4 linked regions of the Diceros bicornis minor genome follow. The protein of the gene in region 3 interacts with the protein of the main gene of each other region in a pairwise test. Links are inferred from orthologs where the notes say so. Each region holds a gene or a part of one and is shown on either strand. Other genes may lie near its edges. The genes, in order: ARR3, POLI, DVL2 and AP2M1.

Evidence for each region.
Region 1: the proteins of DVL2 (region 3) and ARR3 interact in a two-hybrid assay, tested with the Homo sapiens proteins (2 studies listed by BioGRID and IntAct). The two-hybrid records come from large-scale screens. The link is inferred for Diceros bicornis minor from reciprocal best matches to the Homo sapiens genes DVL2 and ARR3.
Region 2: the proteins of DVL2 (region 3) and POLI interact in a two-hybrid assay, tested with the Homo sapiens proteins (2 studies listed by BioGRID and IntAct). The two-hybrid records come from large-scale screens. The link is inferred for Diceros bicornis minor from reciprocal best matches to the Homo sapiens genes DVL2 and POLI.
Region 4: the proteins of DVL2 (region 3) and AP2M1 interact in a two-hybrid assay, tested with the Homo sapiens proteins (2 studies listed by BioGRID and IntAct). The two-hybrid records come from large-scale screens. The link is inferred for Diceros bicornis minor from reciprocal best matches to the Homo sapiens genes DVL2 and AP2M1.

Annotation. Positions count from the first base shown.
Region 1 is NC_080781.1:63,647,871-63,655,283, reverse strand, and holds the start of ARR3 (arrestin-C), read right to left. Parts: upstream 3,008-7,413; 5' UTR 3,006-3,007; coding exon 2,814-3,005; intron 2,693-2,813; coding exon 2,633-2,692; intron 2,450-2,632; coding exon 2,382-2,449; intron 1,727-2,381; coding exon 1,591-1,726; intron 1,402-1,590; coding exon 1,317-1,401; intron 1,056-1,316; coding exon 983-1,055; intron 591-982; coding exon 453-590; intron 1-452. UniProt on the Homo sapiens protein: May play a role in an as yet undefined retina-specific signal transduction. Could bind to photoactivated-phosphorylated red/green opsins.
Region 2 is NC_080755.1:46,122,862-46,130,668, reverse strand, and holds the start of POLI (DNA polymerase iota), read right to left. Parts: upstream 3,012-7,807; coding exon 2,873-3,011; intron 2,867-2,872; exon of another isoform or gene 2,694-2,866; intron 1,501-2,693; coding exon 1,378-1,500; intron 1-1,377. UniProt on the Homo sapiens protein: Error-prone DNA polymerase specifically involved in DNA repair. Plays an important role in translesion synthesis, where the normal high-fidelity DNA polymerases cannot proceed and DNA synthesis stalls. Favors Hoogsteen base-pairing in the active site.
Region 3 is NC_080757.1:11,049,222-11,056,358, reverse strand, and holds the start of DVL2 (segment polarity protein dishevelled homolog DVL-2), read right to left. Parts: upstream 3,015-7,137; 5' UTR 2,797-3,014; coding exon 2,603-2,796; intron 333-2,602; coding exon 263-332; intron 1-262. Other genes in the region: PHF23 (PHD finger protein 23), read right to left, coding at 4,141-4,355, 4,459-5,308, 5,860-5,952, 6,120-6,151.
Region 4 is NC_080754.1:39,500,162-39,507,019, forward strand, and holds the start of AP2M1 (AP-2 complex subunit mu), read right to left. Parts: upstream 3,022-6,858; 5' UTR 2,920-3,021; intron 912-2,919; 5' UTR 869-911; coding exon 795-868; intron 1-794.

The sequences.
Region 1 (7,413 bases), on a different chromosome or scaffold from region 3:
GTGCTAATCTTCCTCTTTTTGCTAAGGAAGACCGGCTCTGAGCTAACATCTATTGCCAATCCTCCTCCTTTTTTTTCCCCAAAGCCCCAGTAGATAGTTGTACGTCGTAGTTGCACATCCTTCTAGTTGCTGTATGTGGGACGCGGCCTCAGCGTGGCTGGAGAAGCGGTGCGTCAGTGCCGCCAGCAGCGGAGCGCGTGCACTCAACCACTAAGCCACAGGGCCGGCCCCATTTTTTCCTTTCTTGTTGCCTATGACCTAAGCCTGCCATTGGTCCCATGGGCATTATTTAGCTTACTGTTAGCCCTCAGGCCTGGAGGGATCTCTGAACACTAGCCTAGGGACATTTTAAAAATGTAGGTAGGCTTCATTGAAGGTGAAACCTTAGACCTGTATATATAGCATGCAGAATGTGTTGGGGATAGAGAATGGGGAGTTACATTTGAGCTTACATCGTGCTGGAGGCCAGATTGGTATCACCATGCTTGAGTTTGCCGTCCAGTGCCAGGCCCTGTTTCTGGCAGTTGGCATCCAGGAGTGGGGTTACCGTGAAGCTCTTGGAGAAGCTGGAGTTAGCAGCTATAGTTTCCCTTTGAAAGGAGAAGAGAAGAACTTAGGCTAGGCTTGCCGACTAAGGGTACTTTCATTCCCAAGAGTATCTTGCATAATTTCATGAATATACTGGAGTATCCCAGAGACCTGGCATGTCTAACTGTGGAGAATGGAACATTCACTCTGGTGGGAAATCCTTCTGCCCCTTCCCTCTCTCAGCATTTTGATGATCCTCTTGTGGATCCTCCCTCTAGTTCTCCTGGGAGTCCCTCCCTTTCTCCATGTCAGCCCTCACCTTGACTTTCTTCAGTCCTGGGCTGTTACTTGCTTCCTTCTTTCTCCAATCCCTTCCTCTGCCTCCAGCCCCCTGGCCCTCTTCCCATCACCCCACCCCTTGGTTCTTCTGACCCCGGCCCCAGCACCAGCTCACGTGAACTCCTGAATGAACACAGTCTTGGTGTACTTGTCTAGTGAATACAGGACAACATCTGTGATCTGGTCAACTGAACAGCCAGGAAAAGCACATGACTATAATCAGTCAGTCATCCTCAAGACCCCAACTCACTGCCCTCAGAAGTGACCTTATACATGGGCACACTATGCATGATGCACTCAAATGTGCTCATGGACAGAGACACATATTTTGGTAAGCCTGCATTGGAGGGAAATCCTAGATGAATGCAGACTGGGTAAGTGGGGCAGAGTTTTGAAAAAAGACCTGTGGATTTGGGACCAGGTGCAGGAGGATAGGAAAAGAAGCTCACCTGAAATCTTGATTTTTTTTATGACCTTGTTGGTGCAGTTGTTGATAGAAACATTGACAGAGATGGGTTTGCCATGGTAGTGAACCTGAAGCAGGAGGAGAGGCCCATCACAAGGTTGGAGGGAGAATGCCCAGGTCAAGACCTAGAATTCCTATTTCATTAGCACTATTGCCACCCTGGCTCCCATCCCTGTCTACCCAAGTAGAAAAATCAGTGAAGAAAGAGTTTCAGAGGGGTTGTAGGGCAGGGGGCAGGGAGTGGGGGGGTCACAAACCTCCCTGTCCATCCAGGCCTGGAGTTGTAGGGGCTGAGCTGACAGAAGGAAGCGGCGGACAGTCTGGGCTGAGGGGCCAGGGCCTGGCTCCAGGGGTGCAAACTGTATTTTCCGAATCACCAGGCGCACAGAGTCTCTGAGTAGAGGCCAAGGGGTTAGCCAGAATGTCTGCTTTGGGACCCACAGACATTTCCCGTGCCAACACCATAACCCAGTCTTTACTTGGACGTTAGAGGTAGAGGAAGGCCTCCCTCAGAGAACTCCTCTAGACCCTCAGTGTAGGGATCTAGACCATGGGTCAGCAAACTATGGCTCACTGGCCGAATCTGGCCTGCTGCCTGTTCTTGTATGGCCTGCGAGCTAAGAATGGTTATTACATTTTTAAATGGTTGAAAAAAATCAAAGAAAAGTAATATTTCATGATGTTTGGAATTACATAAAACTCAAATTTCAGTGTCCATAAATAAAATTGTATTGGAACACAGCTATGCTCATTCATTTACATTCTATCTGTGGCTGCTTTTGCACTGCACTGGCGGAGTTGAGTAGTTACAGCAGAAACTGTATGGCTCACAAAGCCTAAATATTTATTTTTTGTCCTTTTACAGAAAAGTTTGCTGACCCTTGCCCTAGAGCAAAGAAGAGAAGTCAGAGGGGAATCAGAACTGGGCATCTGAGTTGGTAATGATGGTGCTATGGAGGTTAGAAGTAGCACTGTTTCTGTCCTGAGAACAAGATCTATTTCCTGACACAGGTTGGAGGCAGGGATTTTGGAGAGGACCAAAGAATACCTCTTGGAGATTTTCTCCTCCAGGTTTTCAGCACAGAAACTTTTCACTTCAAAGTCAATCCCACAGGCCTGCAAAGGGGCAGGGGCAAAGAGAGCTCATTTCTAACACTATCCCTCCCTTCTTCATGGGCCTATAAGGAAATGCCTGACCTCATCCTTTAATTGTCTATTTCTTCAATCTTGTCCATTTGTCCCTCTGTCCTTCTCCCAGCGCTGACCGTCTATCCCTCTTTCTCAGAACCCAGACCTCACCTTTCCTGTATCTTCAGGATCTGGCTGCAGTGTCACCGAACAGGGCAGGTTGACAACCATCTAGGAGATCAGAAGGAGGTCAGCAAACAGAAGAAATAGGGACCCCTTTCCCCTCTTCTCTTTCTTTAGCTTCCTCTCTTAATCTTCCCTGGAAACCTTGCCCAGGACTTGGGGTCAGTACCTGCAGAGTAAAGGGGTAGGCATTGTCCCCCAGCTTGTGCAGCAGTCGCTCCTGTAGGACTGTGAGGGGCCCCTGGGGGCTGGTGGCCTCAGCTGGGACCACTTGCAGGACCTGTACATACAGATCTTTGCGGAACGTCAGACCAATCACATCCAAGTCATCATGGCCATAGCGAAAGGCACATGTTAACATGACAAACACTGCAGGCAAAGGAGGAAGAGAGTGACCTGTCAGGCCTGAGGAGAAAAGGAGGTCTTAAATGGCTCATAGGAAGACATAGAGAGACAATGTAATATGATCGAAACAATATGGCCATAAAGAAAAGAATTAATACATTTGACTACAGTAAAATTTAAAACTTCTTTACATTAAGAGTCTTTATAAACAATGAAACAAGCAAACACCTGGGAGAAAATATTGGCAACACATATAACAAACAAAAGGTTACCATTCATAATATATAAAGAACTCCCACAAATCAAGAATAAAAATGTCCCAGTATAAAAGTGTGCAAAGGGACTGGCCGCATGGCCTAGTGGTTAAGTTTGGCACACTCTGCTTTGGTGGCTCGGGTTTAGTTCCCGGGCGTGGACCTACACCACTCATCGGTGGCCAAGCTGTGGCAGCAACCCACATACTAAATAGAGGAAGACTGCCACAGATGTTAGCTCAGGACGAGTCTTCCTCAAGCAAAAAGAGGAAGATTGGCAACAGATGTTAGCTCAGGGCGAATCTTCCTCAGCAAAAAAAAAAACAAAACAAAAAACAAAACAAAACAACAACAAAAAAAAGGGATGCAAAGAATATGGATAGCCTCTTTGCAGATGTACAAAACAGAATGACCAATAAGATATGAAAACATGTCCATTCTCATTAATAATCAGATAAATGCAAATTAAAACGACAATGAGAGAACATTTCACACCCATCAGATTGTCAAAAATTTCAAAGTCTGACAATACTAAGTGTTGGTAAAGATGTGTAGCAATAGGAGTTCATTATACACTGCTGGTGGAAGCATACATTAGTACAACCACTTTGGAAAACTGTTTGGCACTATCTAGTAAAACTGAATCTGTTCATATCTTATGACCTAAAGAGAATTTAGAGAAATTCTTGCTCATGTTTATAAGGAGATCGATATGAGAATGTCTATTGCATCAAGGTTTGTCATGGCATAAAATTGGAAATAATTTAAATGTCTATCAACAGGAGAATGGGTAATACAGTTGTGGTATAGTCATATAATGGAATACTAAACTGAGTTTAAAATAAATGAACTATAATTCCACGTATCAACATGGTTAAGTCTCGAAAACTATTGAGTAAAAAAGCTAGGTGCAGAATGATATGCACAATCTGATACCGTGTATATAAAGTTTAAAAGCATATAGAACAGGGGGCTGGCCCTGTGGCCTAGTGGTTAAGTTCGGCATTATCTGCTTGGGCGGCCTGGGTTCAGTTCCTGGGTGTGGACCTACACCACTTGTCAGTGGCCGTGCTGTGGTGGTGACCCACATACAAAATAGAGGAAGATTGGCACAGATGTTAGCTCAGAGTGAATCTTCCTCAGCAAAAAAAAAAGCATATGGAAGAATACCAAAGTTGCTCACAGATATATAAATATGGAGTCGAAGTATAGAAGCATCATGAGAATAATAAACACCAAATTCAGGCTAATGGTTACCTGGGTGGAGGCAAGGAGAGAAGGAGGTGGGAGGGAGGAAGGGGAATGGGATTAGGGAAGGACACATGGAATCTTCAGTTTGTTGCTATAATTCTTTTTAAAGCTAGGTGGTGGGTAGAGGCTATTCATTACATAATTCTCTAGGGTCAGGATACCTGGGCTTGAATATGACTTGTACAAATCTCTTGAGTTCTCTGAGCCTCAGTTATTTCACCTGTCAATAATAGGACTGCACTAAGAGCTCTATATATGTTATTTAGACCTCAAAACAATCCTCTGAAGTATTATTATCTCCACTTTACAGGTAGAGAAAATGAGCTCAGGGCGGTTAAGTGACGGCCCAGGATTTCAACCCAGGCCTGTCTGATTCCAAAGCCCAGACTCGTGTGTGCCCAACTTAACTCATAGGATGGTTGTGAGGAACTGATGTATAAGAAATCCCTTTGGAAATTGTAAACTAATTATAAATGTGGATGATGATGATAATTGTGGGAATATTGGCCAGTTATAAGTGAACTCATACTTTGCAGCTGGTACCTAAGATCCGGGGCAAATGGAAAGCCTCTTTAATGCACTCGTGGAGTGTGGGATGGGGCATAGAGGGATACCTGGCCAAGGGCAGAGTGACAGAGATCGAGGGAAGGAAAGATGTCGAACAGGGGTGGAGAATCTTATTTCTATCAGGAGCCCTGACCCAAAAAAAAAGAAAACTACCAACAGCTACACACTACTAGAAAGCAACTTATTTTAGTATTTTTAAGAGATGAAAATATCAAACAGCCAGATTGTCTGCTTTTAAAATTAAGAACAAGAGAAATTAATCTATATTCAAAAGATACAACAAAGACTGAAAGTAATGATAGTGGTGGTGTTTATAAGGACTGGGGCAACGGGCAGCCTCATACACTGCAGGAGAGCGAGTTAATTGGTACATTTTGGAGGGCAATTTGGCAATAGAAAGCTGTAAAAATGTGTGACTACCCTTTGACCATTCATTCCTTTTCTAGGCATGTAGTCTGAAGAAATAATTGGACAAGTATGAAAAGATATATATACAAGTATGTACTTTACAGGGTTGTTTATGATAGCAAAAAATGTCCAGCAGTTGAAGATTGGCTAAATATGTTACAGTACACCCATACAATATAGTACTAGGCAACTTAAAAATTCACAGATTTTTATATATTGACATAGAAGAAACAGAAGATTAGAAAACATTATTTATAGTATAGCATTTTTTAAATAAAAATATAGTTTTGCACAGAAAATATGAACTAAAATATTATTAATGATTATCTCTGAGTGATAGGATTACAGTCTCTTTCTCCTTCATCTGTATTTTCTAATTTTTCTGCAGTGAAGGCAAACTTAACAATTTTCAAAAGATACAACAAATAAATTCACCTTGGTTCTCAATTATGGCCAATTAAAGTGGGAGAGGGAGAGAGAAAGAAAAGGAAAAGGAAAGGGACAAAGGAAAGGAAAAGACAGCGAAGATGAAAAGGAGAGGAAAAGAGGTGGCTGGAAGGAAGCAGAGGGAGGAAAGAAATGAAAGAGATGAGGGATAAGACAGAAAAAGATCAGGAGGGGTGAGGCAGAAGGGTATACAGTAACCTCTGAGGTGAGGGGGTTAATCAGATGAATTGTTTTTGGCACATCCAGCTGTTCGCATGTGGGGAGGGCATCACCCCCCGCCCAAGATCTTATTGGCTCTCTAGCAGTTTAGAATCATCCTTTTTTGTGCTAGGAAATAGCTTGTTTTTTTTAATTCAACATCTATTCTAAAGTTATTTATATTTGTGTTTATTATACAAATAATACTTATTAATTGTTTGAAAATCAGAAAATACAAACAAAAAGATAAATCAAAGCTCCAGCATTATACATCCTATTCGAGACATAACTGCTATTAATATCTGTTGCATTTGCTTCCCAACTTTGTTTGTTTCTATAATCAAACATAAGGCCACCTTAGGTATTTACGACTTCTCTCTCATTGCTGTTTTGAAATTAAACTTTTTTTTTTTTGTGAGGAAGATCAGCCCTGAGCTAACATCCATGCTAATCCTCCTCTTTTTGCTGAGGAAGACCGACTCTGAGCTAACATCTATTGCCAATCCTCCTCCTTTTTTCTTCCCCAAAGACCCAGTAGATAGTTCTATGTCATAGTTGTACATCCTTCTAGTTGCTGTATGTGGGATGCGGCCTCAGCATGGCCGGACAAGCAGTGCGTTGGTGCGCGCCCAGGATCCCAACCTGGGCCGCCAGCAGCGGAGCGCGCGCACTTAACAGCTAAGCTTCGGGCCGGCCCAAAATTAAACTTTTTATTTTGAGATCGTCATAGATTCACATGCAGTTGTAAGAAATAATACCGAGAGATTCCAGATAGATTTTTGTTATACAACACTTTATTCACGCAACCACACATCCTGCCCTACAATTGGCCTTTATCACTCAATGGTATAGGGTAAGTTATATTTTACATCAATACATGCACCTCGATAGAAAAAAAAATATTAGAAAATATGGTGCGTATAAGATTATCTTTATAAAAGTAACAAAACGTATAAAATGGCTAAGGAATAAATTTAAGAAATATACGCAAGTCAAATGATAATATAAAACTCTGCTAAAGGACAAGGAAGATTAGGATAAAAGGAAAAAACATATCTTACTCCTGGATCAACATGCAATTTTTAAACTAAAGATTTCTTTCTGTAGATTATTCTGAAGGTTTTGTAGGAATGTGAAAAAATGATTTAGGTTTTAGAAATACAGAGTAATTGAGAGTCTTAAATAAGTTGTTTAATTTACTGGCTATACCCCAGAGTTCTTCTGGTATTTAAAACTAGTTGGACTCCTTACCCACACTGTTTATTCTGAGAGGTTAAGGCGATTTTATTCCACAATATC
Region 2 (7,807 bases), on a different chromosome or scaffold from region 3:
TCTTCTACAGACTGGATCAAATTCTAGTTTACTAGTGACTTAAGATTGCTAAAATTATTTGCTTTTTTCTTTACACAAGTTGACTACTTGTTTACCTCTATAAAAGTAACTCATTTAAAATATGTAAAACACAAACAAGAAGGAAAAAAATGTTATGCCCATTCCCCTAACGTAAGACACTTGTTTCTAAAATTTTGATAATATAAACAAGACAAAGAAACATTATTTCACATAAAGATTTCAGATTATGCCCAAAAATAGAACATTGAGTCAAAAGTAATTTAAGATTTGTCAGTGAACTACATAAAAAGTCAGACTGGTAACGTCCTTAAGTAAAAAAGTAGTCTTTTAATGCTGAATTATATGGACTCACCACTATATCTCACCAGCCCAAGTTACGTAGTCATATTTATTGAGTATAGATGAAAGTCTACATATGCTTTCTCCTAGAAACTTTCATCATCACATCCCTCACTTCCCAATACACATTCATTCCTCAGTCTTAATTACACAATATCTTTTTATTAAGCATTATCTACAAAACACCTTGTGTTATAATGCTACTAATTAGAAACACATTTAGGAGAAAACTTAGGCCCCCTAATCCTAACTCCTTGACATCCTTAGGTAAATTTAAAGATCCTAGACTGACCTTGGTGTACCAAAAACTAGTCATCCCTTTGTTCTTTAGTAAATCAACTAGGCTGGGTTGAATTGGGATTTATCAGAACCAAACCAGGCACAAGAGGGTAGCAGCAGGTGAACCAAAATTGCTCTTGAAGCTTATACTAAAAGATAAATCCTTACTACACGCATAAAAGAAATTTTTGGAAATTTAAATTACTTTTCCAATTTAAGATATAATAAAAATGTTAAAACAAGCTAACATACTAATAAGTAAATCCTCAACGTAAAATTTCTCTGCCTTTTATTTAAAAAGATACTTGTGCTTTTATGGAACGCTTGCCTTAATATTTAAGGTCCTGTTCAAAATCCAACTATTTTGTCAGACATTACACAATTCAAGAGTTAATTTCAAAATGGGAGGACAGCTGAAAGCTTCCATTAAAATGTTATAAAAGAGGCTGTTTTTGAGATAAGAGGATTATAAAATTTCACACATTGAGAAAGACTACAAGTTTATTATGGGTTCTGTTCATTTGTTCAGTTGGCCATACTACCTCCATCAAATTCACCATTTAATAAATGAGCCTTATAAAGTTTACACCTGGTAGTGAAGCAAAGATCATCCATAAAACACCTTAAGAACTGCTTCCAAATCTTTCTTAGTATGGTTAATAAATCAGAACATAATAAACAATAAATGAGTAGCTAATCCTATCATACTAGGAAAATATTATCAATGACTAGAATTACCTAAAGGTTTGCCCTTTAGTTCCGGATTTGAGATCATTTCTACTTGTGCATAAAAGCAATCCAGATCCACGTGCACTATGACTCTGGATGAAGAACTTCCTGCTGGCTCCAGCTGATCATGAACTGCATGCACAATGTGCAAAAAAATACAAAAATATATTCAGGCTGTTTATCATCTCTGAGCAACTGGCCATTCCTTAAAACATGGTAATTGAGAAAGAAGAATGCAGAGTGACTTTAAAAGTTTTTTCCTGGATTTATTATTTGTGTCAAAGCATCTAAAAATTACAAACATGAGAGAAACTCCATCTATAGTAGGGTCTTCAGTCCTGTTTATTTAGCATTTATTTGTGCACTGTATTTTTCTCAGGATAGTAATAAATTTCAGGAATTGATCAATAATGGAAGATGCAAGAGGTAATCCTACCACCAAGAAGTTTATAGTAAAATTCAGAGTAAATAGGAAGGGGCAGACAAGTTTAAACGCTGATTTCAACCAACAAAAATTATTCTAAGCGGCATGTCCTTAGGCTTAAAAAAAAAAAAAATCAGAAATACAAAACAGCAGAAGACAGAACCTACGGGTTCCAGGGGACTGTATATAGCTCTCAGATGAGAGCAGGACTATCTGGTTCAGCGCTTAATTCCCAGTTCCTAGAACAGTGTCTGGCATACAACAGACTACCAATAAATATTCGCTAAATTGAAAGAATAAGTAAATATTTCTTGGATTTTAAAAGTAGTTCATGCCATGGCGGGGCGAGGGGTTGACAGAGAGGATTCCAGCTCTTAACACCAGTTAACAAGGCAGGCTAAATGCAATGTGGTATTCTGGTTTGGATCCTGGAACAGTAAAAAAATCAGTGGAAAAAACTGGTAAAATCTGAATAAAGCTGGCACTTTAGTTAACAGTATTATGCCAACGTTAATTTCTTAGTTTTAACAAATGTACCGTGGTGTTGTAAGATTATTAACGTTAGGAAAAGCTACCCCTAAACCTAAAATTATTCCAATTAAAAAAAAAAAAAAGTGCAGGAAAGCAGAGCCCCGGCCCCAGGCGCTGGGGTTGGGTGGTACAAAGTAGAGCCCACGGGCTGGAAGTGGGTCACCGCAGAGGCGGCCACTGCAGACGTGCCTCGTCCTCGGTTCCGAGCCATTTCTTCCAGCGCGGGCTGAGGCCAGGCCCCAACCTGTGCCGGGAGGGCGACAAGGTTCTCCATTTCTGCACCTTAACCCGCCCGGGAGCTTCTTAGGCTTTCACTGGGCGGTCTAAGGCACCACAGATGCACCCTCCACGAACACACTGACGCACCCACCCTATTCCTACTAGGCGAAGCTGTCCCGCTCGGGGTCTTAGCCACAAAACACTAATGAAGGGCAGCTCTCTCGACGGAGCCCGGACGACGGAAAGGAACCGAGGGGGGCGGGGCCCGTCACACCCCAACGGCCGCGGCCGCCGCCCTGGGTGTCCGCCCGCCCCGCCCTTCTCATTTACACCAAAGAAGATCGTCGGACTCCTCAGGCTCCGGCGAGCTGCCGGCTGCCCCCGCCTCCAACCGCTCCATGGCCCGAGACGCGTCCTCTTCCTGGTCGCGGCCGCCTTCCTCCTCAGGCTCCACCCCCTGCGTCTCCATCCAGCCGCGGCCAACCGCAGCGCAGTTTCCGGCCGCTTCCGCCCGGTCTCCAGGGAAACCGCGGGCCGACCGGCCCCAGCCGCTCCGGCCCTGGCGCCTGCGCCGTCCGGGCCGACCAGCCAGTTACCCGGAGGGCGGCGCGGGCTGGGAATCCTTCGGACTCACGTGCGCAAGTTCCCTCCCGCGCAGTCGAGGCCGGAAGTGAGGAGTTGTCATTCCGAACAGCTCGTTTTTTTCCTGAGGTCTTCGGTGTTAGTTCCAGACCACGAATTAAAGTTAACCTTTAATCTTTGCTGAGAGGCCATCCTGTTCTCCCGATCAACTGTTAGCAAAATTGCTAACCGTAAGATGCTGAGCGATTTATAGTAGTGGGAGTGGGGGAAAGGGTGAAAATTATGGTAAGAGCAAGGCGGCCATATACACGAATAAGATTAGCAAGTATGTTGAAATTTGTTGCATTTTGTTTGTTTGATTCAAAGAGACTGTGACAAATTGGACCCCTGATTTTTAATCATCTAAACTGAATAGGATTTTGATATTATATGAGCTTTGAGGTCATAAAATCTCCAGTCCAGATCTTCCAGCTTACTAACTGTGTGATTTGGGGCAGGTTACATAACTGCTCTGAGCCTCAGTATCTCCACTGTAAAAAAAAAAAAAGCTGTCTTGGGTGTTGAGAGTAAATGAATGAATGGATGAAAACATACTCTAATCTTCCAGTGTATATAAAACACCTGGCACATAGGAGGTGCTTAATAAATGTCAAATCTCTGCCTTCTGTTAAGATACCTTGTGTGCCTGGAGGTGCGGCAGTGTATGTATATGTATACATGTATATATTCACACACATTTTGTTTTTTTACAGGATCTGCTCTTATAAATAGGATGTGAGAACATTGAGAAATCCTTTAAAGGACATGTTGATGCATCCATAAAGGAGAGGGAATAACAGGCAGACCTGGGGCTCAGTGGTTTGGAGACCAAGTCTTCCTCTTTGGGTATTTTACACTTAGACATCTGGACCAGTTCCCCAAAAGTGTCCAGTCTAGGATCTAAAACAGCGATTTAGAACAATGCTGCTTTCTTTGTGAATGCTGTTTGATAAGTCTAGATAAAGAGCTTTTGACCTTTTGAATTAAGTACCTCTTTGGCCACTAAGTGCCTCTTGGCCTATCTTCAAGGGTCCAATTACTTGTAGACAACTAAAGTATTTTTTTTGATTCCTCCATGTTGAGAATGATACACACCTCTACAATACCATGGCAAATGAAAACAGCTCCTTTATAAGAGCTCTGGGCTCACTAACACTCAACAGCTTGAGTAAAAGTGAGCCAGCATTGAAAAACAACACACATAATCAAGCCTTCTTTAGTTGCATTTATTTCCCTGTCAATTATGAAATTGAAGAGTGGCTTTTAATTTAGTAGAAGGATAGACAAATAGAACCTTGAAAACCCTAGGGGAGTAAGCCGGGCTGGCTTTATGAGTGTATAACCTACGCCATAACAGAGAGCTGCTTAGAAGGGCCCCAGACATGGCTTCATGTTCTGCTGTTGTCTTGAAATTCTTAATAATTTTGAATAAGAGACCCTTCCTTTCCATTTTGCACTGAACCTCACAAATTATTTAACCGGTACTGGGGACAAAGGGAAGTGGCATAGAAAATGACTTCTTAAACACCTGTATGTCAGGCACAGGGCTAAGAGCTTAAAACAGATTATCTCATTCAACATGCCCTAGAGGGTAGGTATCACCATTCTCATTTTACCAAAGGTGAAACAGGCCGGCAGAGACTAAGGTGCTTACTCAAGATTACAAATCTAGTAATGATAGATCCACTTTTCAGAGTTTTCCATAGGGAAGAATTCATTAATAATGTTTCTTCCGTAGAGGAAATCACTTCCTCTGCCCATTTTCCTTGGTGCTTCAAACACCAGACAACCTGGAGCAGGAAGAATAAACATCCCTTGACTATATTAGGAGGCATAATAAGAAAATTTATATGAGCTAATATGTGTTGCTTTGTTGTGGGATGAATTAGAGAAAGCGTTTTTTGTTTTTTGGGTTTTTTAAATTCTATAAATCCCCTCTCCCAGTTTTAATTAATTGGCTCTAATCTAGGATAATTTCAGGAAATAAATATTTTGAGCCTGGATCATATTGTATATTTAAGTGCCAAATGAGAAAAACAATTGCAAGGTAGAACAAACATATTTAATTAAATTATGGTTGAAACAATATTCATGAGGGAGCATGAAGTTGCAGAGTGTGGCTAGCAGATAAAGAAACTGGGGCCATTTTAGAGCCTCAGAAGTCAAGACATTATGAATTTACATACATTAAAAGTGATAAGCATGAACACCCATGTCAGTGAAGGGTGGGAAACAGTTACCAGTGCCTGCTTCTCTCCTCCTAGCCAAGTTGGCCACATATGGTTCAGAGGCAGAACTCTAGACAATGTTTAAGGGCTTTGGCATGAAGAATGTGAGGGCATTTGTGACTGTCTGTGTTTTAGGCTGGTGGTAGGTTAGGTAGAGGTTGATCATGGGATCAAAGGAACAATTTGAATTGGCAAAGGCACAAAGGGTTTGGTTTTATATCGTCTTTGGTCTTCTCAATTGGTCTTCCATTTTGTCCCCTAGGAGATATTTGGCAATGTCTGGAGACACTTTTGGTGGTCATATCTGGAGGATTGGAGCTCTGCGCTACTGGCGTCTAGTGGGTAGAGGCCAGGGATATTGCTGAACATCCTACAATGCACAGGACAGCCCTTCACAACAAAGAATTACCCAGCCCAAGGTGCCGATTGGGCCAAGGTTGGGGCACTCTGGCCTAGTAGTATTTACACCATCCTGCTCCCAATTCCCTCCTCAGCTTAAGATCCTCAGTTGTAATAAAAAATTGGTCTTCGGATATGTGCTTTTAATTATAAATATGACATTTTTAGAAAAAGGAGGATATAAAAGGGGAAGACAAGTATTATTTAGTTGCTTTTCACTGTGGGAATGTACATTCTGAGGCTAAACAGCAAATGAATGCATTTGCTGGAAAAGAGATTTAAGAAAAATATCCATACTTTTATGGAGCTTGTGAGTTGCCCCTAGGGTGAAAGGCTCATGAGTCAGAAATAATTTACAAGGCTTAGAAGCTAAAACCAGAAAATACCGAAAGGCTTCAGATGGTTGAAAGCGAACTATAATTATGATATGCTGTTGTACAATGTGCATGTCATGCAGTATTTACTTAGTAACTTTCATCCAAGGATCTCAAACCCTTTGCATAAAAACTTCAGTCGTCATGAAGAAACCCCTATTTTTCTCTCCCTTTTTTCTGCACATCACAATGCACACCAAAGCTGCAGTTTCAAACTTTCTCAGTGTAACCTAAAAGTATTTGCTGCGTACTATGTGTTTGTGGCTAAGAGAAGGTGTAACAGGCTGGAGTTTTTCTAACAGTAAGCTTCTCTTTGCTTTGACCTTTCTTTGTGGTTCTGTAGAGGCCTGCATAGTCATTTTAGTAACGACATTTAAAATGTTGCTTGTCAGGGTGTGCTCAATGGACTTTGCCTTGTCATTTTGGATAGAGAGAGGTGGGGACTAATCTGATCACAATACAAGTCATTTGCTCCCAGTTTGTAAATAAAGTCTGCAAAGTTCAGTCATTGAGAAAAAGATAACTACTTGATGTCATATAGAAAGTGCAAGCAGATTGACGTGGATTAGATATACTGTGTTAAATGTATGGACACCTAACTTTAATGTAACAATTTTTTTAAAAAACCTCTTTTTCTGATTGTAAAAGTGATTCGTGATTATTATGGAGAATTTGGAAAATATAGACAGGAGGTAAGAAGAAAATAGACGTAATGTATAATCTTGGTGCTTAGAGATGACCATGCTTTGACAGTCTTTTCATAAAGCATAATTTAAGAAGAAAATTATTTTATTTCACAAATAAATTTCTATATCTATTTCTCTATCAAGCTATGAAAATCATTGTGAGAGGCATTGCTGAATAAATGACATAGAAAAACCTTTGTAAACTTACTTCTTTTTGATGTTAATTTGAAGGAAATGAATAAATATGGTTGCAATGTCATCTTGGAAATGTTAATAATTTCAATTTAGTCAATAATCTCCATTTTCCTGGTCTGAGTGTAATGTAAACTCTCTATAAAGGAAAATATTTATATTTATAGGACTTATTTCTTAAAGTTGATTCAAAGACTTCATTAAAGTACCTATTAATCCTGAAAGTACTGCTTGTGCCTCTGATAAAAAGAAATTTTTCTTCTCATCCGTTGTTTAAGATATTCTAGTAAGACAAACAGGGATAAGGTATAAAGTGAAACCCCCCCACAATCCCTACTGCATCTTGAGATAGCCACTGTTAACAGAGTTAACCACTGTTAACAATATATATTGATACACTTCATCAGACTTCTTATAATACTTAATATAGGGTAGACATAGTGATCATCATTTCTAATTCACATGAGTGGGATCATACTATACAGACTCTTCTTCACCATATTTTTCACTTAGTATCTCTTGATCATCATTTCTTTTCCATGTACAAAAATCTACTGCCTTCTTTTTAATGGATGCATTGTTTTACCAGCTCCATATTGATGGACACGTTTCTGATTTTTTGCTGCAGTGAATGTCTTTCTATCCTTCTTCAGGAGTTTGATACTCCCCTTCCCTAGGACAAATTTAACCTTCTAAAATTCTATAGGAATGTTATCTTTATCTTTTTTTTTGCTGAAGAAGATTCACCTTGACCTAATATCCATG
Region 3 (7,137 bases):
ATGAGATGGGAGTAACGAAAAGGACTAGAAAAAGGGACAGGGTCTGACAGAGCCTGGAGAAAAGCACAAAAAAGCCGTAGCAAGCAGAAGAGACCTCATAAAGAGAACGCTGAGAGGCTCCAGCTGGCTCTCCAGACAGGTAGGAAAGCAAAGAGCCAGGACCTCCAACAACTGAGCAGGAGGAGTGCTACAGAACAGACTGAGGCGTGGAGGAGCTTAGCAACACAGGAGGGACTGGGGCCTCAGGGCCAGAGCCCCTTACCCAGGACACCACCCGTCCGTTGAAGCAGGGAAGGCGGGCATTGTCATCTGAAATTTCTTCCTTCACCACCCTGCCGAGAGAAGGGATAAAAATCCGTGAGACTGGACTAGCTCCCCCGACTCCCATCCCCATTCAAGTTTCTCCCAATCCTCATCCAGCTCAAGGATGTGGATTTTCTCTCACCCTGTCCAAGTCCTCTTCTGTTACACCGAAACACGTCACTCTTAGACCTAAGAAATCTCCAAAAGATTCCCTTTCCATATTTCTCCTTCTCTCCCCAGCTCCTCCTCAGGGGCTCAACGCTGCTCCAAAGATTTCCTTGAGTCTGATTCAAACCTCTCAGTCCAATTTCAAAGGCCATCCCATGAGGTTACCCCAGCTGCCCAAAATATCTATCTGACCTTAGGAGCCTTGCAGGCAGCCTCCCCTCAACCTCTAACCTGTTCCTCACACACCTTCCCAAAAAAGGCTTTGGTCCTCATGTAAGTCTCCACTCTTATGCTTTCCTTAGTTTTCTCTAACTCACTTCCAGAGGGCAGTCCAAATGTGCTGTCTTTGCCTAAATAAAAATATCCATTAGACCAAAGAATGGTACTTCTTCACTAGGCCGAGAGCTCTCAAGGAGAGGGGAAGCCGGGCTTCCCACTCCCCTGTGCCTCACCTGGCACAAAACTCTGCACTAAGCAATCGGCTCCACCTGACAGACCCCAAAGCCCAGCCCTGGGGACCATTTGCCCCATGGGTTCCTTGCGATGGACTGGACTTGTCCCTTCTTCTCAACTACCACCGGAAATCATTAATCATTAATGCCTATTCTGTTCAACACTGCATCCCAGCCTCACAGCAAAGTACCTGATACTTGGTAAGCATTAACAAATATTTGTTGACTAAAGGACTCAATATATAAGCTATGAAAATCTCTGCCCTGAACACACACTCTCATACATCCTCACTCTTGAATTAGGACATACTGTCTGATTAACCCTTTAGCCTAATATGGTTCTAGGAGCCTGGATACATGCCAACTTAATCCCATTTGCTATCAAAGCGACGACACAGCCCAGGCACTACTAATCTGCCTCAGCATAATGTAGTATTCTTCACAACATAATCCAGTCTCATCATAGTCCAGCCTGCCAAGTTGTTCTATTCTGTATCACCACAGGGATACAAACCTGGCTTATAGACTAGTCAGACTCAGTACTAATAATGACAATTATCATTTGCCAGGTACCTGTGGTAGGCATTTTACTTTGATGATCTCCATTTCACAGATGAGATCAAAGCACAAAAATTAAATAAATTATGCCAAATTAAAATGCTGACAAACAGAAGAACCTTGATTTAAATCCAAGGTAACTCCCAACACAGTACCACTTTCCCCAACGTCCAACAACCTTTCTAGGGAGAGCCCAGTCTGTTCAGCCCTCCTAGAACCCAGGCAATCCCAGCCTAATCCAGCCTGCCTTCAAAGCTGAGCTTGAGGACAGAGACTGCTCAGTCTCAAAGGCTATAGACACAAAAGGGCTTACTCTGCATTACTTAAAGTCCCAGTCTAGCCCAGAATGTCCCAAATTACCCCAGGAAAGCCCAATCTAGTCTAGCACATCCTAGAATGTCTCCACATGCAGCTGTCTGCACCAATACAGACTAGAATATCCCAATACAGCTGTCTGTACCAGCAGAGACCCCAACAGACTGTCTGCTCCTCTACTGAGTGTCCCAATAAAAACTAGGCCCCCACAAAAACTAAGATCAACCAATACAACCCAGTAGAGACCAGAATGGCCCAAGTTTCTCCAAGATAGCCTAATCTACTCCAGGGCAGCCTAGAACATCCCAATACAGCACACTCTGCATTATTACAGACTAGAGTGTCCCAAAACAATCCTGCCTGCCGTAGCATAGGCAAGAGCGCCCTAAGTTACCCCAGTATAGCCCTATCTACGTCAGGAGATTCCACAATATCCCTACATAGCCTGTGTGCTAAAGGACTGCTCAGAATGCACTGAACTACCAAAAGATAGATGAATCCACCTCAGCACAGTCCAGAACATCCCAAAATAAACCAGTGAGCCCCATTCTATTCCAATATAGCCTAATCTTCTCTAATCTGGTTTAGTATAGCCCAGTATGTCCTCCTACAGCTCCGTGCGCCTCAATCTGTCCAAGCATAACCTTGTCCATCCTGTGATACCCAATCTACCCCAGCATAGCACAATCTACTCCACTATAGCCCACAAATCCCCAGCATGGCCCAGAATGGACCTATGCCCCTCAATATTGACCAATCCACTCCAGCACAGTCCCCAGCCGTCCCAGTCTAGGCCTCGGGCTCACCCGAAATCCTGATCCATAGACTTGAAAAAGTACTTAGCGCCCGCGGGCCGCTGCAAGACGCTCTTGAAATCGCCGAGAGTGATGCGCTCGGCGGGGACAGGGATCTTCACCAGGTAGGGAGTCTCCTCTTCATCCAGGTGGTAAATCACCTTCGTCTCCCCGACACCACCGCCCCCCGCGCCGCTGCCCGCCATGGTCTCGCCCGCGCGCTCCCGGGCTCCGCCGCCCACCCAAGCGGGCTAATCGCTCCCGCCGCGCCTGCGCACACCCGAAAACCGACGCGCGAGCGCGTACAGGACCGACCCCGTGCAAGAGCGGTGCAAGAGAGAAGGCGGCGGTCGAGGGGATAGGAGAGGGCGGCCAAGGGGTGCGACCCAAAGCCTCGGACTCAGCCGCCGCCGCGCGCCACCGCCGCAGACGCCGCGAGCGCCCCTCCTGTGCCCCGCCCACCTCTCCCCATGTCACGTGACCCAAGCCGACCCACCTCGCGCTCTTCGTAACGCCCTCCGCCACGTGACCCTCTCCCGGTCACGTGACCACTCGGCTCCTCTTAGCGCCCCCGCCACGTGATCACTGCCTTCAGCAACGGTCTCCCAGCCCGCACCGGCCCCGCCCCCAAATGTGTCCCCACCCGCGTCCACCCAGTCCCGTGGCTAAGCTGGTCTCTGCCCTCAGGGAGCAGGCAACTGATTCCCACCCTGCTTTACCCAGCTCGGGCGGGGAGCTCCGAGCAAGTCTGATCCGCTGGAGCGAGCTTGTGGGGGGTGGGGGGTGGAGATTGTGGGGATCCTACACAGGGGCGAGGTGGGGCAAAACCAATTAAGGCCAGAGAGTCGTTTTCACCTCGGACTTGAAAGGGGGGTCAGTTTCAGCCCCTCCTCCAGCCAGTCTTCTGCCAGCTTTTCCAAAGCCTCCCTCCCAAGCAGGACAGTCAGTGAGGGCTATAAACACAAAAGAGCCCACTCTGCTTTATTTACAACACGCAGGCTGTCTGTACAAACAGCTGGCCAATATTATTAAAAACAAGAGGTGAGTGAGAGAATCGTCACCCTTCTGTTTTCCCTCCTGCCGGGCCAGGCTCTGGTTGGTACTCCACCTCTGAGCTGCCATGCCCAAAAGGGGAAGTCCAAAATTAAAAATACAACCGGTATAGAATAAATGGGGAGTGAGACAGAAGAAAAGATGAGGGACGGGAGTGCTATATTTACACTAGAGTTTTATAGACAACTGTCCCATTCCATCCCAATTCCAACCCTGGCCCAGAAAGTGAGAGGTGGCAGGCCCAAGGGACAGAGATTAAGTGTCTAGGGACCCAGGCAGCTTCCCACCCCCAAATGTAAGGGGTCCGAGTTCAAGTCCACAAGGTGGGAAGGAAGGGTAGGGGAGGAATGTGAGAAACTCATTTCCAAACCAGCCTCCCTTAGGAATTCCTGCCTTGAAGTGGGACAATATCCAAGCTCCAGGGGATAGGCTTGAGGACCCTGAGGCTCAGTTCCCAAGTCATGTCATTTAGAAGTTCCAGCCTAGAGCCTGCGATGTCAGGGCTCTCCAGATTTGGGAGGCCCCCCTAACCGCCTGGCCTCTGGCCGCAGTTCTTTGCATTTCTGGCAGTAAAAGAAGTCAGGGACATTGGTCTTCTTAATCTTAGCACAGGAGAGGTGGATCCACGTCCCACACAGGCTGCACTCAATCATGGGCCGCCCTGCAAAGGGCTTTCGGCAGTAACATGTGATCAGATCCCATGAGTCATCACCTGGGGAAAAGAAGGTTTGTTTGGTGTTCTGCCTGAGCTCTTGGATCCACAACACCCCTAAACCCAGCCTCCCAGCTGCCCTTGGGTGTCCCAAACTTCTCACCTGATTCTACCATGATGTCCTCATCCATGACCCGCATCTCGCCTTCACTGGAGCTGGCATCTCCATCTTGGCTTGTTTCAGTGCTGCCCACCTCCTTGCTTTCACTGTCAGTGGCAGGGGCTCCTTCAGGGTGCACTGTGGCAGGGGGCCTGGGAGCCTCAGGGGGTGTTGGCAGCACAGGGGCTGGGGCTTCACCCCCTACCATTGCTGCCATCTCTTCCTCCTCTTCCTCTTCCTCCTCCTCCTCCTCCTCCTCCTCCTCCTCTTCAGAGTCTGTATCACTAGGGGGTGCCCGGGGAGGACCAGGAGGTGGGAGTCTATCCCCCCGCTCTGCTTTTTTCAACTTCCGCTTCTTGCTCTTCTTGATTCGAGACCTCTTTTCCCCATCCCCAGGGGCTGGCCGAGGCCTCCGAAGCACCCCAAAGCCAGCACCCGCTCCTGGCCCCAATTTTCGGTTCTTTCGGTCCTTCTTTCGAGGAGGCTGGGAGAGGTCCCCCTGGGAAAGGGGCACTGGGGTGAGAGCAGCAGGGGGCCGGGAGGCATGTGTCAGGGATGTGGGGGACAGTGGAGATGCCATTTTGGGCCCATCTAGATCAAAGAGAGAGTCCTTGAGCTTCATCTTCTCAAGCAGGGTGGCACTGTCAGGGGCCTGCAGGCGAGAGAAAGTGGACCTTGGGGGTCCTGGCTGGGTGGGACCTGCTTGAGCCGCCCTTCTCTTGGATGACTTTGCTTTCTTAACAAAGGTTTGGATGGTTCGGAGATCTGAAGGGGCCGAGTCCCAGCCATCACTGTCTGCTGCACTCTCACCTCGCAATGGAGAGCTGGAGCCGGAAGCTGGCCAGTCACTTTCCTTAAAAAGGGGAAGAGACCAGGGTCAGCAGGCAGCCCAGTGTCATCTCAGCCCCTCTACAAACCCAGATTAGAAACCAAGAACTAGATCTACCCCAAAATATCCTGTCAAAACCACCAAGTCTCACTGTACTCATCCCAATTCCCATCAACATCTCCACTTGAACATTTCCATGTTACCTCTGCCCTCAAATTCTAGCGATCTCCCCAGTGCCCAGTGCTTTCACAACATTTTATCTCCCACACCAGAACCATACTTCTTTAGCTCTGTTCTTGTACAGCCTCCTTTGTTGCCATTTTCAGCTTCCTAAAATTTATCCAAAAGCAACTTCCATTAACAGTACCCCAAGACCATTCACTGCCGCTCAAGTCACCTAGCTTTATTAACCCCATCTCCGCCCCAGACACTAGTTTTCCCACCCAAGTTTCCAATTTTCCTAGTCTTATAATTCCTGGTAGGTTTCTCCTTTAAAGTAATACAGTCCCATTTACTCAACAGCGCCTCTATAGTCCTAGGACACCCCTTCATATCACTTGTCCTCCTGTCCCTACCTCTTTGCTAGCGGGGATGTAACCAGCATAGGCCAAGACAAAACTGCAGAACTTATTAAAATCCTCAATTGTTCTCCGACGTTTCTCTGGTGGCTGAAAGGAAGGAAACATGTATCACATGGAGTGTAAGAGGGGCATTCCCAAAGGCACAGTCCCTGGAGTGAGGAATGTGGAAAAGGTAGAAGGGAAAGAGAGACGGACAAAGGTGGGGGAGGGGGTCTGGCAGTAATACTAGGCTGCAAAGGTAAGGGAAACCTCACCTGAGTCTCTGGCTTAAGGGTCGGAGGTGGATCTGTGAAAGCAATAAAAGCTGAGTCAAGGCACTAGGCAAGAGTCGGTGTAAAACCCCACCTCTAAACCTTGAAGGTCCCAAGCGATCCCCCTTCTCTCCCAGGTACCTCAGCCAGGCCAGCAGGCCCCCAGCTGCGCTGGACCCGCCCCTGCTCCCCCTTCCGCCCCGCGAGGGGCGGAGCCTGGGCGCGGCGCCCTCCCAGGCCTCGCTATAGCGCTCCCCTTCCCCCCACCGGAGGCCTGGCGCCCCGCCCCCCCCCACAACTCACGGTTTCTCTAGACTCCAGTCGACTCGGATCTCTTAGCGCCCCACCCCGCCATACCGCTCCCCGGACCGAGCCAGGGCTGCCGCCTGCCCCTGTCCTTCACACGCGCCCAGAGCCTGGAGTTCCTACCCGGCCGCGCTCTACCGCCCCGGGTCCTCCGAGACCGCACACGCCGCCCGCCAGCCCTCAGGGTCCAGGATGACCACGCTGAACCGCTCCCCGCCCTCCGGCCCCTTCTACCGGAGCACGAGGCCCGGCGCGCCCCTCACCCCACCTAAACACACACAGGCACACACAGCCAACGCCACTTCGCGTCCGGGACAGACCAGAGAGCTCTAACCCGGACGCGGCCCCACCTGCCCCCCCCATACCGCGCTCCCCACAATTTCGCCGTCCCTCCGCCCCCATCCGGGGCTTTGGCCCCTCCCCGTCTCGAGCTCCTCGGGCTCCCCGTCGGGCCCCCGGGCCCTGTTCGAGCTCTCTCCGGCCGCCGCCCCCCCCTCCGCCCCCGTACTCACCACCGAGTCACTAGGCTACGGACCCCTAAACTCTACACCCCCCCCCGCCCAACCAGCTACTCTCTCCCCCCACAGCAAGCCCCGCTGCTGCCCACTCACCCTCCGCAACTCCCAGGCTCTAACCCTCGCCGACCAAACCTACACCCCCCCCCCCGCAACTCGCCAGTCTTAACCCCCCCACCCCGCCCCAGCGCCCCTACAAC
Region 4 (6,858 bases), on a different chromosome or scaffold from region 3:
AGAAAAACAGGGCGGCATGAACCAGAAGAGCCTAATCTCATTAGAGCTGCTGAGGCTAGGCCATGTCCTTTCAGTCAGTAAGAACAGTGGAATGCAGGGTAGGGCAGAAGGCAAAGTAAGGCTGTGCCTCCTTGTTAAGATCTGAGGGATCCAGAACAAGGAACTATTCTGGGTCTACTCTGACAGGCCAGAAAGGGTAGCATGGCCTCCCTGCCCTTCCCTCAGTGACCTGCAGAATGCCTCAGGCTTGCTCACAACCTCTCCTCCAGGAGTAGCCCAGAGGAACTGAAAACAACTGAGTCAGCAGCCTGCCTCCTTCTGAGAAAGGGAGTGGGAGAGGATTCGGCAGCCTGGAGAGGCTTTCAAGAGAATACAGTGAAGGCTCTCACCATGAGAAGACTTAGATGGATTAGTACCTCCAGCCTGGCCACTAACTCCACCCACTGGAGACTGATCTCCCTCCTCCTCAAAGGAGGTATCAACCTGCCCAAGCAAAAGCATTCATCTCCAGCAAGCAGGTCTATCACTAAGGGAAACAGAAGACAGGAAGGACAGGAGTCCCTAAGACTATGAGGGCCATGCCATTTCCACAGGTCCCACCTAGCGGCCAGCAACTGGCTGCCAAGCCAACACCACCGGACCTAATGGGAACCAGACTGTACTAGCTGAGCTTCCAGGATGCAGCAAGGCGTAGGGGTGGTCCAAGTCAAGCCTCTGGTAGGGACCTGGTCCTACATGCTGGGGAGGAGGGCTGAGGAGGGTGGGGGCACAGCTGGCTCAGCCAGGGGACTCACCCGATGTCATCTCGGTAGACCCGGGAGATGAGCACCTCCCCCTTGTGATTATAGATGAATAAGCCTCCAATCATGGCGGCAGCTCAGTCTCCGCAGCCCATCGCTCTGAGAACAGACCTAAGACAGGCGGGGGCAGGGTAAAGGAAGGCCTCAGAAGCCTTGCCAACGTCCCCTGTGGGGCTGTGCAGGTCAGTGGCTGGGCTTTTTTCCTGACTCAACCTTTCAGCAAGTGACCCTGCAGCCCTCCCAGGCAGGCCCCTCCCCTTAGCCAGGCTCCAGTTCCTGTTTATCCCATCCTGGAAGGGAGAAAGAAAGGGAGAGGGACTGGAGCCCAGGACTCTAAGGCCATTTTGACCCTCCCTTTTCTGGGCTGAACCCAGAGAGTAGCCCCCTCCCCCTCTCCACAGAGCAGAGCTGAACTCAGTAGGGATCCTTTTCTCCTTTTCCTGTGCAGACTCTCACCCAGGCTCTAGCCAGTGAGTCACTGCGAAGGCCTGCCTGCGGCTGCAGGAATGGCGGTAGAAATTACTCCAACTGGTTCAGGCCTGGGGCCCCCAGGCACAGCTTTAGGAACACCCAGTCTCTCAGGCTCCACTACCCTTCTGAAAAGGCGGCAGGGCCTGAACCTCCAGCCTAATTCACAGAAGCCTAAACATTCCAGGAAAGGGTGTGGAGCGTGGGGAGAGGAGGAGAGAAGGGAGGCCTTAGGCCCTGACATGGACCCAGGACTGTGGCTCCAACCTCTCCCAGACAATCAGATAAGCAGGCAAAAGAGCAGAGGAGAAAGGCCTCAGCCCTGGCCCACTACACTTCAATGACCCAAGCTACTTATTAGTTATTTTTGACTACTCCCCTTTCAAAAAGGGAGGTTCCCTTTCAGCTCCCAAGTACAATAAAAATAAGGAGGGTCGGGGGTGGGGGGAAATGCAAGTCCTTAAAATTAAGAGATCCTTCCAGCTGAAATTCTGTGATTCCAGACCCACAACATAACTCACTTCTGGCCTGAGAGCCTATAAGCAAGGGGCAGAATGCCTCAATTATGCAAATTATCTGGGTCAAACTCATTTAGATTGTTTACAAGGAGAAAAAGGGTTAATTTTAATTTAGTTCTAGATTTCTTGGATTAGCTCTGGTATTAAGTTCGCAGGCGGGGAGTTTGGCAGACTTTTCTAAACTGGAAAATAAAGTCTATTACTGTGGCCGTCAAGGTCTCCCAGGCGCAGTGAGGGGTCTCCCAAGGTGGTGGACACATCCCATCCCTCAGTCGCAAAGAGGCTGGGAGAGGAAATGCAAAATGGAGGTTGAGCCGGGGGGAAAGAACCAAGTTCACAGGTATCAAGTGGTGGGGAGCTCAGGGCACAAGAGAAGCAGAGATGGGCCCCAGGACTGGAATGGAATATTCAGTTAAGGGAAAAGACTGGCAGCAATAGCCAAGCCCTATGCTCAGGTGAGCCCAAAGCAGCGACAGGCTGGCGGGGGCACCTGGAGAAAGCTTCCAGTATGGCAAAGGTCAAGGCCTTGAAGAGGAAACACGGCAGGGAGAGATTGACAGTGGTGGAAAGCTGGGGAGACGGAACCTGTTTTGGGGTTCAGGTGTAGAGGCATAAGTGGGCGGCCTTTTCACCCTGGGGAGGAAATATCGCCGAAAAAGATGGTTCCACGGGGTGCGGGGGCTGTCGCAGGCCTGAGAAAGAAGAGCCACGGGGTGTCACTCTACTGGGAGGAGGGGGTGCCGCAGGGTGGAGGCTTGTCAGAGTCCAAAGAGGCGGCACAAGGGGGTGTCACTGTCCTGAAGTGGGGGAATTGTCCTTGCGCTGAGAGGAGGCGGCGCAGAGGGGTAGGGGGCTGTCACGATCCCAGGGAGGGGAACGCCGCGCGACGTCCCTGCTCTGGGAGGATTCCAGTAGGTCTCCCTCTCTCGGGAGGCGCAGGGCGGGTCAGGTGGAGGGCGCCGCTCCCCGCCCGTGCTGCAACCGCGCCCTGGGCGCTCCCGCCCCGCCGTCAGCTCCCTCCGGATCTGAAGGCTGAGCCCACTCCCGGGTGTGGGCAGCTTTCCGCGCAGCGCAATGCAGAGCAGCGGGGCAGGCGTCCTCCTTCACCCCGTAAGGCCAGATCCCCAGCTCACCTGGCGTCCGCGGCCCTCTGCTCGGCCCGCCCGGCCACTCTCTGGATCCCAAGATGTCCGCCCGCCCCCTGCTCGCCTGCCCGCTGCCTCGGCTTTCACCGCAGTGCCGCGGCCCCGCCCCGGCCTCGGCTGCGCGTGCGCATCTGCCTCCCGCGCAGACTACAAATCCCGTCAGGCTCCTCGGCCTCCTCGCTTACAATTTTAAGCTCTCTAGGTTTAGCAGAACTACAACTACCGACGGGCTTCGAGAACCTTCGGGGGGTGGGTAGGAGTGCCCTGGGAGTGAGTAGGAGTGGCTTTATCTAGCCTTACCCCAAATACACATCACAGCGTAGCTGGTCCGCTCACTTCATTTTCCCCTCTGAGCAGTCTGGGAATTGTAGTGTGTGGCGTCCCTCCTCTTCCTGTTTTAGTATTTCGGAGAGTCTCAGAGGATTAGTGGCCTTTGTTGAAACAAAACTGTTAAGCATTCTTTTTTTGGTGAGGAAGATTGGCCTTGAGCTAACACCTGTTGCCAATCTTCCTCTTTTTGCTTGAGGAGGATTGTCCCTGAGCTAACATCTGTGCCAATCCTCTCTATTTTGTACCTGGCAAGCTGCCACAGTATGGCTTGATGAGCAGTGTGTAGATCCACACCCAGATCTGAACCCTCAAACCCTGGGCTGCCCAAGCAGAGCGCATGAACTTAACCACTACACCACCTACCAGCCCCCAACTGTTAAGCTTTTGATTGCTGTGGGGACTTTTCTGTCTTCAGAGTCCAAGGACTAGCTGTCCTCACATGACACACAAACACAAGACTTGGCAGTAGAAGTGTTTGTGCTGAATTTACTGCTGTCTAACACCACCTGTGATTCTCCCAAGCTTTTTTCATCACTTATTTGTTCCAGACATGAGCCTTTTCCCAGGGGTCAAGACCCAAGCTAAGAGGCAGGGAGTAAGGAGGCAAGTACTTGGAAGAAACTAGCTAAAGCTTTTCAAGAATATGCCCAGTGTTCCACCTCAGCTATACCTGCGTGACTGTGAGCTCTTCAAGGCCAGGACCTGTGTGCCTTCTAGTGACAGGCATATATGTTGCTTAGAAAACTTTTGGCAAGTTAAATTTAACTGGACATGGGATTTGAAATCCCCACTCTGATGAACAGAGTTAATCTCCACAATCAAGCTGAGGAGACAGCCAACTCTTGAACGTGAAAGGCTTGTGTGGCTGTTGCAGGACCTGAAGAAAATTTGTGGGCTCTTCTCTTTCTGTAGGGAGATATAGCCTGCTGCCTTCCTTAGGCAGGGCTGAGCTGACATGAAAGGAAGGGCAAGAAATAGCAAAATGGGTTTCAAGCCATATTGTACCTAGCATCCTCCCACCAGGAACCAGGATGTGGCAGGATGAAGATCTGGTCTCCTTCAAACCATGTTCACAGTGGGAAGCCATTAAGTGACCAAATACAGGCACTTCTAATCCTTGAACCAGCATTCAGGGCTTCACTCCTCCCTTTATCTTCAATACATACCCTAAGCCCTTACTAATTTAGAGTAAATAATGGTGATAATAATGATAATAATAATAATAGCTACCATTTATTGAGCACCTATTCTACTGTGTGCCAGGCACTGTGCTAGGCACTTTTCGTACAATATCTAATTTAAATCCTCACAACAACCCTGTGAGGTAGGTATTATTATCGTCATTTTACATATGAGGGAATTGAGGCTCAGAGAGATAAATAACTCTCCTATCACACAACCGAAACGTAGTAGAGCTGGGATTCAAACCCAGAACCACCTGACTCCAAATCCCATGCTCCTGTGAACTAGAGTAGAGGCAGAGGAGAAAAGAAGGGCCAAATTCAAGAAAGATTGTTAGAGTGGAATGGATATGATACGCTGACTAGTAAGATATGGGAAGGAGTTTAAGCCCATAAATGTTTCTAGCTGGTGAGCCTATGTAGTGTGGTGAAGGTACCCAGGATTGGAATTCAGGAGGAACACACTTGGTGGGGAAATGAGTTGAATCCATGTAGACATGTCCCTGGATTGTCCAGTGGGTGATAATAATACAGATCTAAAGATTGGAGGGAAGTTGAGGCTGGAGATAATATATTTGGGAATCACCAGCATATCAGTGGCAGTTGAGGATGGATGATACCATTTGGGGAGTAAATAGAGAGGAAAGAGAAGTGGACTGAAGATAGAACACTGGGAGCACCGACACTGAAGGCATGAGCAACAGTGGAGGAATTCTCAAGAGAGTTGGACAACGTAGAGTCAGAGAAGGAAGAGAAGTACAGGAGGCAGCCCTAGTAGTGTCTAGAGGAGGCCATGATCCAGGCCGGCAGCAAACCCAGAGCTTCCAGAAGGCAGGCAAGACTGAGTCAGACTTCCAACACAGCCCTCACTCAACAGAAACCCCAGGAAGTATTTGATAAATGAATGAATGCCAAAATGCCCTACCCTGGTTTGCCCCAAAGCCTGGAGTTTAGGACTTCATCTCACTCTTGACAGCCAGTCCTGAAAATATGAGAGCCTAGGTGAGCCAGGTGAATTTATAGAAGAGGCTTAAAGAGAAAGTCATGTTCTGTTTAAATTGGAGAATAAGGTAAATAATAAAATTTGGCATTCTGTCTGGAAGTTCCAGAAGTCCCCTTGCCCACCATTGCTCTGGGGTATCATGGTGATTGTGAAAATAGGGAAGGGTGTGGGGTGCCGGAGAGTCCCCTGCTGAGCCTGGCCTGAGACCTGGCTTAAGGGCTTTATCCAGGTAGGAGGATGATGGAGACATGTGGGAGGCTTGAGGGCTACAAGGAAGGGAGAGGGATGTCAGGGGACCAGCCCCACGACCTGGGAGAGGACAGGGAGAGAGAGTCCAGCCCTCTGGGCAGGGACCAGCCCTGAGGCTTAAGCAAACTTGCATAGGCACGTGTGTGTGTGTGTGTGTGTGTGTGTGTGTGTGTACATGCACGCTTGCACGTGTGTGAAAGACAGAAAGAGAGAGAGATCATATTCTGGAAAGGGGAACAGAGTCTCCCATACATGGGCAAGAGAGTGTGGGGACCTTCACAGAAGCCTAGTGACTCAGCATGTTGAAGTGTGGGTGTGGGGGCTGAATATCCTCCGATATCCCCTGAGGAGCTCCTGAAGCAGGGGTCCTGGTCTCCTCGGAGGCAGGGCCTCCCCTCGCGGGGGGTCACAGAAAGTCAAACAGCCCGAAATTCTTGGCTGCTCCAGGCCCAGGAAAAATAAGGAGAGGAAAAAAGAAAGAAAAGAAATGTTTCAGGCCCAGAGGTGAGATGAGCCTGCTGGTTAGTAGGGTTAGGGGTCTGAAGGAACCAGCACACAGGGCAGGCATAGGGGCGCGGCAGGGTCGGGGGGAGGGGAGAGTAGAGATGCTCTCTGGAAGCCACTAGCAGCTCAGGCAACTTGAGGGGCCTCCTGGGCTTTTGGTAAGGGCTGAGCGCAGGCAGGGATAGCATGGATAGTCACTGGAGGTGACTCCAGCCCTGGGCTGCAGGACTGAGGCAGCAGGTGGGGACACTTAGGAGGAGAGGCAGATGAAGCAAGTATTTTTTTGGTGTCAGTATTGTGTGGAAAAGTCAGGAGATTGGCACACATGCTCGAGGGGATGGGATTAATAGAGGGAGGATGTCGCTGAATGAGTGGTGGAAGGGAACTGAGGGGGAGAAGGAGGGGACAAGGGGGTGAGCAGGGCCTCAAGGGCACCGCTGGGTTGACTCCTGAAGTGTGTGCGGGGGAGAGGGAAGTAAGGAGCAGCACCAGCAAGTCGGCTCCCAGGGACACGAAGGACCCTGGGAAGTCCCGCGCAGCGGTTAGTGGGCAGAGGGACAAGCTGGGGCAGGGGGCAGGTTAGGGGCTGCGGTGGCGATCGGTGGGTGCACCCCGCCCTCGCTGCGCCCAGCGAGCAGTTAGCGCGCCTGGATTTAGTTC